2 linked regions of the Coturnix japonica genome follow. The protein of the gene in region 2 purifies or fractionates together with the protein of the main gene of each other region. This does not show direct contact. Links are inferred from orthologs where the notes say so. Each region holds a gene or a part of one and is shown on either strand. Other genes may lie near its edges.

Region 1 (4,814 bases), on a different chromosome or scaffold from region 2:
TCCAGTCTGACTCAGAACCCAAGGGAGGAAAAGTAGATGAAACCGGTCCTTGTTCAGTTAATTCCTCACCAGCTAGTGCCTTTTGCCTGTGATGCAGTTTATGTGCTTCTGAGATGGGCTGAAGCAGCCTGAAGGTCACAGTGCAGCTGAGCAGTGCATAGGACTTCTTAGCATAGCTTGGATTAGGGCAGTGCCCTAAGGGAGTATTGGCTATGTATCTGCTGAATGTTTTAGCCTTAGGAGGAGCCATGGAAGGGGAATTTTTTGGTCAGAGGAGAAACCTGTATTGCTTGAGCTTGTCCTGCACTTCCTTCATCTGAATCTGCAAAAAACACTGCTGTCAGAGGGGTTTGACTGTTCCACCTCTTTTTTTAGTGGTTTAGTGGTTACACAGCTTATCCTGGTGGCTCATCATCATTTGTATTTGATTGGAATTCTCTGCCAAGGTGAAAAGAACAGCTTATACTCTGTGCTGCTGCTTTTCTCCATCCCAGTGATGGTTATCCTCAAAATGAAATGCCCAGCATAACAAGCAGGAACAACAACTCTTTCCTCCCTTTCCCTCACTGGAAAAGCTTTCAGTCTCCTGCCTGTGCCTCTTTTCTGAAAGAGGTGACGTTGGAAAAGGTGGATGGTAGTTGAAGCAGCTCCTTGTGTCTTACACAAGCATGTAGATTATTTTATTTAACAGTTACAGCTGGAGGGGAAACACAACTAGTTTTTTTTTTTTTTTTTTTTTTTTAAACAATATATAGGGTTGTTGTCTGCTCTGCTTTTGAAAGAGAGGTTAGGTATCTATGAAAGCTTTAGGGCTAAAGCCCCTGAGTTCCAAAGTGAAGAGGGATTTAACCACTCTGCCTTCCCTGATCAGGAAGTTGATTGCTCTGACTTGGGTCTGTAGATACTTATAGGGAACTCTGGGCTCTCTCTGCACTGCAGCATAAATCCACAAGGAGAATTTTTGTAGCATGAAGTACTGCTTATGGAGACCAGCCTTCTTTGATAACTTCCATACAAGCACACAAAAATAATTACTTGCTGTCTTCTATCTTGCAGACATGTGCACATCGCTATGAGAAAAGGCAGTATGTAAACACAGTGCAGGAAACCCGGGATATCATTGGAAGGTGCTATGTGCTGAGCCAGGATCTCACTATTAAGGATGATATGGATAATGGAGTATGGAGTTTTTGTGATGGTCGCTTAAGAGGCCATGAGAAGTTTGGTTCCTGTCAGCAAGGTGTTGCTGCGACTTTTACTAGAGACTATCATTACGTTGTGTTTGGTGCCCCAGGCACTTACAATTGGAAAGGTATGACCTGACTTCCTTCCTGCTACATCTAGACTGACCCCTTTCCTGTTTCCTCTTAGATTTTTTGCAAATGTTTCATCCTAAGGTTCTTATTTGCCTTTTTGGGGGCTGGGAGGGGGCAATAAGCCTTAGAGGGTTCTTACAATTTTACCTGGTTTTCACTCCTCTATCAAAAATATTCACTGAAGGTCCTTTAAATATTTCTAAAGGATTACTTATGAATGGATAATGGAACTTGGCTTGTATGTACAGCAACTTTTTCCCTTATTAGTCTTATGGTAAGATTGAGTTCTTGCTTTGACATTTTGCAATTCAACAAGTTACTAAATTAATTACAAGTTATTTGCCCAATCTTTTCCTCCGAATTTGAGCACGTTAGATAGCTGCACTCAGGTTTTTTTTATCCTTCAGTATTCTCTTTATTCTTTTTCAATTCTGTAGAAAAGAGTGCTTCCCAAATTCGATACTGGAGGACTGCAGGAAAATAACTGTACAGAGCAAAGCTACCTATATTCCTATCTAAATCTGTAGATATTTACTCAAGTAAAATTCCATGAATAGTTAGACTAAGAGACAGGGACTCTGTATCATGTATAGGAAATAATCGAAAACTAAGGGGGAAGAACTTAAGATTTTTCTTTGTACGAAGCATCTAAGAGGCCAGCCCTGTCTTTTTTCTTATTCATTTTTCCCCTAGCGCTTAGTTATACCAACAGCTGTAAGTGCTTCCCTTCTTTAGAACACTGCTCCTTAAATCATTAAAGTTTCTCCCCTTGTACAACTGTGCCTGCTACAAGAACCACACCAAGTCTTTGAGTTTAGCTCTGGCACAAGATGTACCCGTGTGAAGGTTTAATCTTCCACATAGCTGTTCCTGTCAACACAGTCTGACCAGGTACTCCGTTTAGGGCTTTACCTTAATGCAGAGAAGTGCTCTGATAGTCTACCAGCCATAAGTTTTCCAGATCATTGCATGACATCTCCATGTACTAGAGAAGTTCTGTCACACAGGCTGATCTTAGAAATTTATGGCCTGTTAAAAGGCCGATGTGGTAGTCTATGTTTGTCCCATTTAAACAGCACTCACTCTCTCATTCATGGTCATTAGTACTAGCTGGGAACCATTTATCAATTATTTTTCTCCCTTACCATTCTCATTTGCTTTTATTTTATCATTTCACTTCTTCAGGGGTGGTTCGTGCAGAGCAAAAGAATCAGACATTTTATGATCTGGGTATCTTTGATGATGGGCCTTACGAAGTTGGTGATGAGAGCCTCCGAGATATGAATCTAGTTCCTGTTCCAGCTAACAGTTATTTAGGTAGGACAAAGTACATGTGGTAAAATCTCTTTAGGCTTCTTAAACATTTGTAATCTGGTCTGATGCAATAATATGGAATGGGAGAAGAAAGCTGTTCATGTGAGGACCCACATTTACGTGTAAGATGGTACTCTGCTGAGGTACCTAGAAGTGCTGCTAAAGGAATAAGATATTTAAGAATGATAATGAAGACCTACACGACCTCAGGGAGTGATTATAATCACTGTCTAATGGTGAGTACTGTGTTCAGGACTGTAATCCTTGGTCACAAGGTCACTGCTATGTGGTATCAAAAAGTCTACTAACATTTAAGTCCCCAAATTTAATTTTCTGGCCTGAGTGCTTTTTTTATTTTTTATTTTTTTAATTGAAGGTTTAAAAACCACAGTAGCCTTTTTACAGGCTTTTGAAATAATGTAACATGAGTAACATTAATGTTCTAAGTGTGTGTGTGTGTGTGTGTGCCTTGCAGAGGAGAGTCTCAAGCTTTGTGCAAACACAAAAGCAGAAATATGTCTATAGGATAATGAATATTCCTGTACACTCACAAGATAAATCGGTAAAGAGATCGGGTTACTCTTCATTTTTTAGAATGCCTTTAGTGCAATGTATAAAGAACGTTTCTGCTCTACTATACTATATATCGCTATACTAATCTGGTGCTTTTGGCTTAAGTAGCAGATACAATTTGGGTAACTCAAAGCTGGAATTTTTGTGTTAATGAGAAGTTGAACAAATAGGAAAGATGTTAACATGAACGTAAGCTGAGTAAAGAGCCAACTTGGAGCTGCGTATCTATTAGAAGAAATAAACTTGAGCTAAATGTGAGTAGTGGTTATGGGGTGTAAAAAAATTCTAAGAGATTATTTCAGAAAGGCAAACTGATGGTCTTTTCATGTGGCAGAGTAGTGCTGTAGTGGTGTCTTTTGCTGTAAACAGTTTACTGTGTGTCTGTCTTACTAAACTGAACTTGTGCACTTTCATAATAAATGCAGTGTTGCATTTATCTAAATATAAATGCTGCCTTTGATTTGTCATAATCAAAACTACTTGAGGGCAAGGCTGGCATTCCCTGTCATAGCTGTTCCCTATATGTAGACAGTAAATATATGTGGTTATAGCTGCTATGCTCAACTGTTTTGTCTTTTCAATCTTTCACTCATATGTTTACAGGTCTTCTGTTTTTGACAGCAGTGTCTGACACTCATCCAGATCAGTTTGTATACAAAACGTTGCCTCCCAGCATACAGGTGGACAAATCAGTGGATGTAATGATGAATAGCTACTTAGGTTTGTGACCACCTGAGGTGGCAGCATCTGGTCACACAGTCTTCAGACCTTTAACATGATATTCTCCTTTCCATCCTCATTATAAATACATCGCAAGTGAAAGCATGTGACAGCAGGGATTCAGATGAAGAGTAACCTGTAAAATAAGCTGGCTTCAGAGAAGCGCTGATTTGTGATACATTTCTCCAAACCCTCTCATCTCTCACACAAAGTGGACTCCTCTGCCTGATTTTTTTGAAACTGTCTCATTGTGAATTGCTGTAATTGAGAATTTCAGTAGTAGTGGTGAACTGTTTCAGAAGGGAGATTACTATATGCTGGCTGCAGTGTTCTTCCTTGCAGCGTGCATCATCTTTCTTTGAACTTCATTGGCTATGTTGTTATATGCATTATATTGTTTTTGTTCATTTTTAATGTACTTTTAAATCTACCAACTTTTATAAAAGTACTTGGGACAAAATTCATTTAGACGTGTCCTTTAGAGCTACATTAAATTAAAATTGCCAATTTCACCACTACTGGATAAAGTTATTCTCAAATACTGTATTACATCATTTGATGTAGAACGTTAAGCATGTACAGTACATCTTGCATGTTTGCAACAGAGCTTATTGACTTGTACATAGAAGTTTTGTAATGATTTTGCTGAAGGTGAGGTACTCAAGCTATATTCAAGTGGTAATGCTTAGTCTTTTCTAAGCTGATATGTTTTTAAAAAAATGACCTTGTATTTACTGTCTGCAGAATGGAGGGCTGGGTGAGCAGTGCAATAGTGTATTTTGTGGGGGAGATAACTTAAATGGAACATGTTGAAAGAGTGTAAACTTACAAACATGCATCCACCAGTTCAAAGAGAAACATAGAATTGCCAGTATATCATACTCTGTTTCA
Region 2 (4,814 bases):
GACCATTTCTCTGTTTCTGCGGATAGCACAGCAAAGAACCATACTGAATATCATGCCAAAAATCTGTAAAGAAAACAAATTATTTTATAATTATATATTATAATTATTCGTTAGAAATCAGAATGGGGAAAAAACATTCTTATCAAAGTGCAGAAAAGCATAGATACTTCCTGGTTCAAAATGCATGTTAACAATTTATTCTGTAGTTTATGACCCCAGGCCTCCTTTCCCTCTGATCCTCAAATTTCAGTTAATTCTCACCAACCCCCCATAGCCTACATACTTCAAAACAGATCAACTACAAATTCAAGTCAATCTCTTAAATATCAGATCTTCTCAACGTATTTAATTTCATTTGCATCATATTTGCCTCCCAAGAAAGGAAAGAAGTGCAATTTTTTTTATTAGCACTGTTATTTCAGACTTCTAGTCAATTTGAGAGGAAGTAAACAGTTTATGTTGCCAAGCCCATGTTTTCAACCTGCACACTCCACACTCACTCAATACAACTTAGCCAGTGCTAACACTACAAGGAGGCAGATCCTAATCCAAAGTAGAAGCATAGAGTCCCTGGGGTACCCCACACACCAAGTTGTTTCAAGGACCCACAGCATACAACTTTACCTTACAGGTACTTATGATCAGCAGAACAGGCTCACAGACTATAGTTAATGTCTGGCACTGTTCAATAGACTTGTACTCTAAGCACCCTTGGCTAGGCAGCAACCATCTAATCTGCAAACTCACCATTATCACAGCAACACCAAGGCCAACTGCGCCAATGACATTCAGTTTTGAATTAAAGATATCATCAATGGCTGTAGGGCATGGCTGAAAGGAAACCATATTTGTTAGTTTTTCATGCATATTGAATCACTGATTTGTTTGCTTACTATAGAGAAAAAGAGCAAGCTCACAAAAGCTGCTTAGAGCTGGCCTTTTCTTTCTTTCTTTCTTTCAACATTTTTCTGGAGATCTATGGATGTTCCAATATAAATATATAAATATAAATTAAATATCATTAAATATAAATCATTAAATATAAAAGTTTAAATCTGAGTTTGTAACCCTCTTAAATGCACCTTGTAAAAAGCAGCACTCCCTTGTCAACAGTGTCAGTTAGATCAGGTGCAACTGTTGCTGCACCAGAGTTTGCTTATTAATAATGGCTGTCAGCACTTAAGCTGCAGTACTGCTCAGCCCTTCTCAAAACAAATCTGAGGACAGAGTTCATACTTCCAACTACTTTTATATCTTTACAGACATCCCATAAGTACATGGTGCATATGAATGAGGGGATCTGCATTGCTTGCATAAGTAGTAGGCTGCGTGCAGATTTATACCAGTGTCAGTTTAAAACTGCCAGGACAACAAACTACCATTGCAACTAAAAAGGATTCTAAGTAGCCTTATTCCCTTAAAGGTGCACAGTGGCCAAGACAAAGAACAACAAACTTACACAGAGGTATAAATCTCGGATATTAGCAGCTGGTCTCTTCCCCCCCACCCACCCTATGCTATCCCAGTAACAGACCACAGTGAGATGCTACATACCACTTACTTTATAGTTTCATATCTAAATGGATTTGAGGATTATGGGAATATAACAGAAAGAATGAATCAGTTAAAGATTAGTACAGTACTGATTTTTCTGGTTTAAGTCATGCTATCAGTCAGCCACACCATTATATTCATTTAGAGTCCATCTACTATTTTTTTTTTCTACAGTTGGGACTAAGCCCTCAACACATTACAAGATGAAGTCAATAGTCCAAACTGAAACAGAATAATAGCAGATATAACCTACATTCTTCCTCAGTTACACTCACATATTGTAGCAAACACACTGTATGAACAAGACTAAAGACTGAATCTGAATACAGACTGAAATTTCTCTAGCAGGTGTTTGAAAGCACAAAATTATCTGTAGAGAGAGGTGGAGAACAAGTGATGCATAAACAAGTCAAGATATGAAACAAAATTTCTGCATCATAACAAACTCAGTTTCTGTGGGAGAACTAGTACAGGCTCTCCTGGAACATAAAGGTCACAAAGCGGTCATAAAAACTTCAGGAAGAGAGTAGAAAAAAACCCTATAAAAGTGCCTCTCCTGTCTGTGGTATACAGGCATCACTGCAGCATTATTTCAACACTGGAATCTGATCCATATTATTTGTTTATGATGTAACCACCCAAGCAAGACACCAATGTGCTACCTACACTCTCCTCTCCAAAAATGGAAAACTTCTCACTAAAATTCCAGACATGCTCCCTTCTCACATTCTCCTCCCTAAGAGAGGCAATAGCTTCAGTGCATATCAGGAAGGCACTTTATGACAGCAGCACTCCAGACAACAAAATCTAGAATGTTTTATGCAAACTTTTTGCATTAATTTGTTCATCATGCCCCTGAATATAATGACATAGGCTACAACACCATGCAGATATAGAGTACTGCCTTCCTGATGAGCTTGCTTGTTTTTGTAGAGGGAGACTGTAGGTTTTCTACAAGTGGATTGTGGGCTGCCTATTAAAAATGACAGGCATTTTCCACGCACTGCAAGGTTTTATTCAGAGGTCTGCTTCTCGTTCTACTAATTTGGTAGATTTATTGGAGAGTTAAGTCATGAGTTACCATTGTTGTAAATGACTCAGCCAAAGTCTTCTTTGGACAGGTGTCCATCAACAGCTGTTCAACACCTCCAGTAATACCACAGCAGTTCAGCTACAGCAGAAGACAGGAAAAGAAAACCAAGTTACATTTGTTTCCTCTCTGTACTTGATTAAAGGAAGAATTAGATTGCATTAGCTATTATTACAGACCTTATGCAGTTTGCTTAGAAGTCTTGCAAATCTGATTAATTTAAAAGACTTTTTAAAACAAGGTCTACAGCAAAAGACAAGATTCCAAAAGTAAGAGCTTAATCTCATTAAATATACATATGCACACACCCCAGTTTTGGGGGCAACTTGGTACTCCTTACAGCTGAAAGATGAACTTCTTAAACAAATGTAACTACACATACTGTGGTACCTTCAGATCAGTGCTAGAGCTCTAGAGTTTCTCAGCTTGCTTTTAAATTTATTTAGGAAATGAATTGGTCTTACTTCAAGGGGAAAAATGTATACTGGCATACAAGAAGAGCTGCATTTTGTTACTGCTCCTTTGGTTTCTTCTAGTTATCAAGGTACTAGATTTGTACAGGATTATGGATGTGTTAGAGAACAGTGTTAAACAGTATTGCTACCTAGTTTTATATTAACTACATACTTACAGCAAAATGGAATGCTTTCAAGGTTTCTCTAGCAGCTGGTTGAGATCTCTTTTCATAGGTTTCTCTGTAGAAATCCTGTAACTCCTCAACAACCTACAAGATAAATAGTTGTATTCTGTTAATGTTTTACTTGATTAATAACTTGTTTTGGATAAAGCAGTCATTAAAACTTCTACAGTCTACAACACATGGTATTTTGACGTACAGAAATAGAGAGTGGAAACAGGGTAGACAGCATTACTCACCTAGAACAAGTAAGCCTAAATGGTGTACACACATTAAAAGCTTGACCCAAACAGATAAGCTTCACAGCTTCCCTTCAGAACTATGAGCTCCTAGGAGGATTGAGAAAACTAAGTTTTCTCCATTAGTTACACAGAATTATTTCCTACTCATTGCTGTACTCCAGAAGTCACTACATTCCTCAGTTGCATAATATAAGCAACAAAACAATCCTGAACCAAGTACTCAATTTGGAAACAAAAAAAAAAATAAATAAATTGAGAGTTATAAAGCAAAACTGGATCCTATTCTACAAAGTATATCCAAAATTTTCAATTATTTCTGCTGTTTCTAAATGTTTGCCAAAAAGTCTAGAGCCAAACCTACATTAGAGTTTGCCTAGCATAGGAGGCCAATAGTCCCACATCTACCAACATTTCTACTCTTGTGACCTGCAGCACCTTCACATTGGCTAGTTTTGCCCACATGACTCTGGTGATTAAGCACAAAACTCCTGAACTATTAGACAACAATAATCCGTGCTATTTGCAGCCTGGTATGGAAGGCCTCACCACAGGACCTGCACCAAAAGTGCAGCCAGCTCAGTGCCTTGTTGTTATGTAAACTCACATACACAGGCAATATTCAGAGTATGTGAACATCCACAGTGGTGATATCTGAGAATATCAACTTGAGGCAAGAACACAGAACAGTCATAGCTTAGATATGATATTTAGCCTTTAACAGCAAGCTCCTTCCTAAAAATGGTAAGACCTTACTGAAGGCTTGCTTCATTTCACAGTACAGACACTCAGAGGGACCTTGGGTTCTGGCCTCTCTGCTACAGTCTTTTTAATTCTTAGTATTTAGTTTCTCATATATGGCTGCAACACTTTCTCCCTCCTCCTCCAAATTACATAGTAACTGGTACACTTTTCACTAGACATCTATGTTTCCACAGGCACACAGTCCTCTCAAATTTAAAAAGAAGCAGTCAAAGGACAGCATTAAAGGTTAAGAAAACTACTACCTACAGCTTTGGGAAAAAGTCTTTGCATTTAGAAGCTGTGACACTGAAAGAATAAGAAACTAACAGACATGGTCTTTCGAGTGAAGAACTTTGAGGTCTCAGATAAGGTCTCATTGATTGCTTCTGTTATTACTTAACAGCGACCTACCTTGTCTTTATTTGCAAATCCCCAGATGGCAGTAGCAATTTCAAGGGCAAAAATCACAAAGAGGAAGATAAAGAACTAGAAGAGAATGATCACATAATTAACCAACACCATAACATTAAAAGAAAATAAAAAAAAATTT

Evidence for each region. Proteins that work in one complex are often made in the same cells at the same time.
Region 1: the proteins of CD9 (region 2) and ITGA6 purify together in Homo sapiens (co-immunoprecipitation; 3 studies listed by BioGRID and IntAct, with this or other methods). This does not show direct contact. The link is inferred for Coturnix japonica from reciprocal best matches to the Homo sapiens genes CD9 and ITGA6.

The regions. Positions count from the first base shown.
Region 1 is NC_029522.1:15,837,185-15,841,998, reverse strand, and holds part of ITGA6 (integrin alpha-6), read left to right. Parts: intron 1-1,056; coding exon 1,057-1,312; intron 1,313-2,501; coding exon 2,502-2,633; intron 2,634-4,814. UniProt on the Homo sapiens protein: Integrin alpha-6/beta-1 (ITGA6:ITGB1) is a receptor for laminin on platelets. Integrin alpha-6/beta-1 (ITGA6:ITGB1) is present in oocytes and is involved in sperm-egg fusion.
Region 2 is NC_029516.1:67,954,969-67,959,782, reverse strand, and holds part of CD9 (CD9 antigen), read right to left. Parts: intron 4,751-4,814; coding exon 4,676-4,750; intron 3,369-4,675; coding exon 3,276-3,368; intron 2,726-3,275; coding exon 2,636-2,725; intron 832-2,635; coding exon 748-831; intron 64-747; coding exon 1-63. UniProt on the Homo sapiens protein: Integral membrane protein associated with integrins, which regulates different processes, such as sperm-egg fusion, platelet activation and aggregation, and cell adhesion.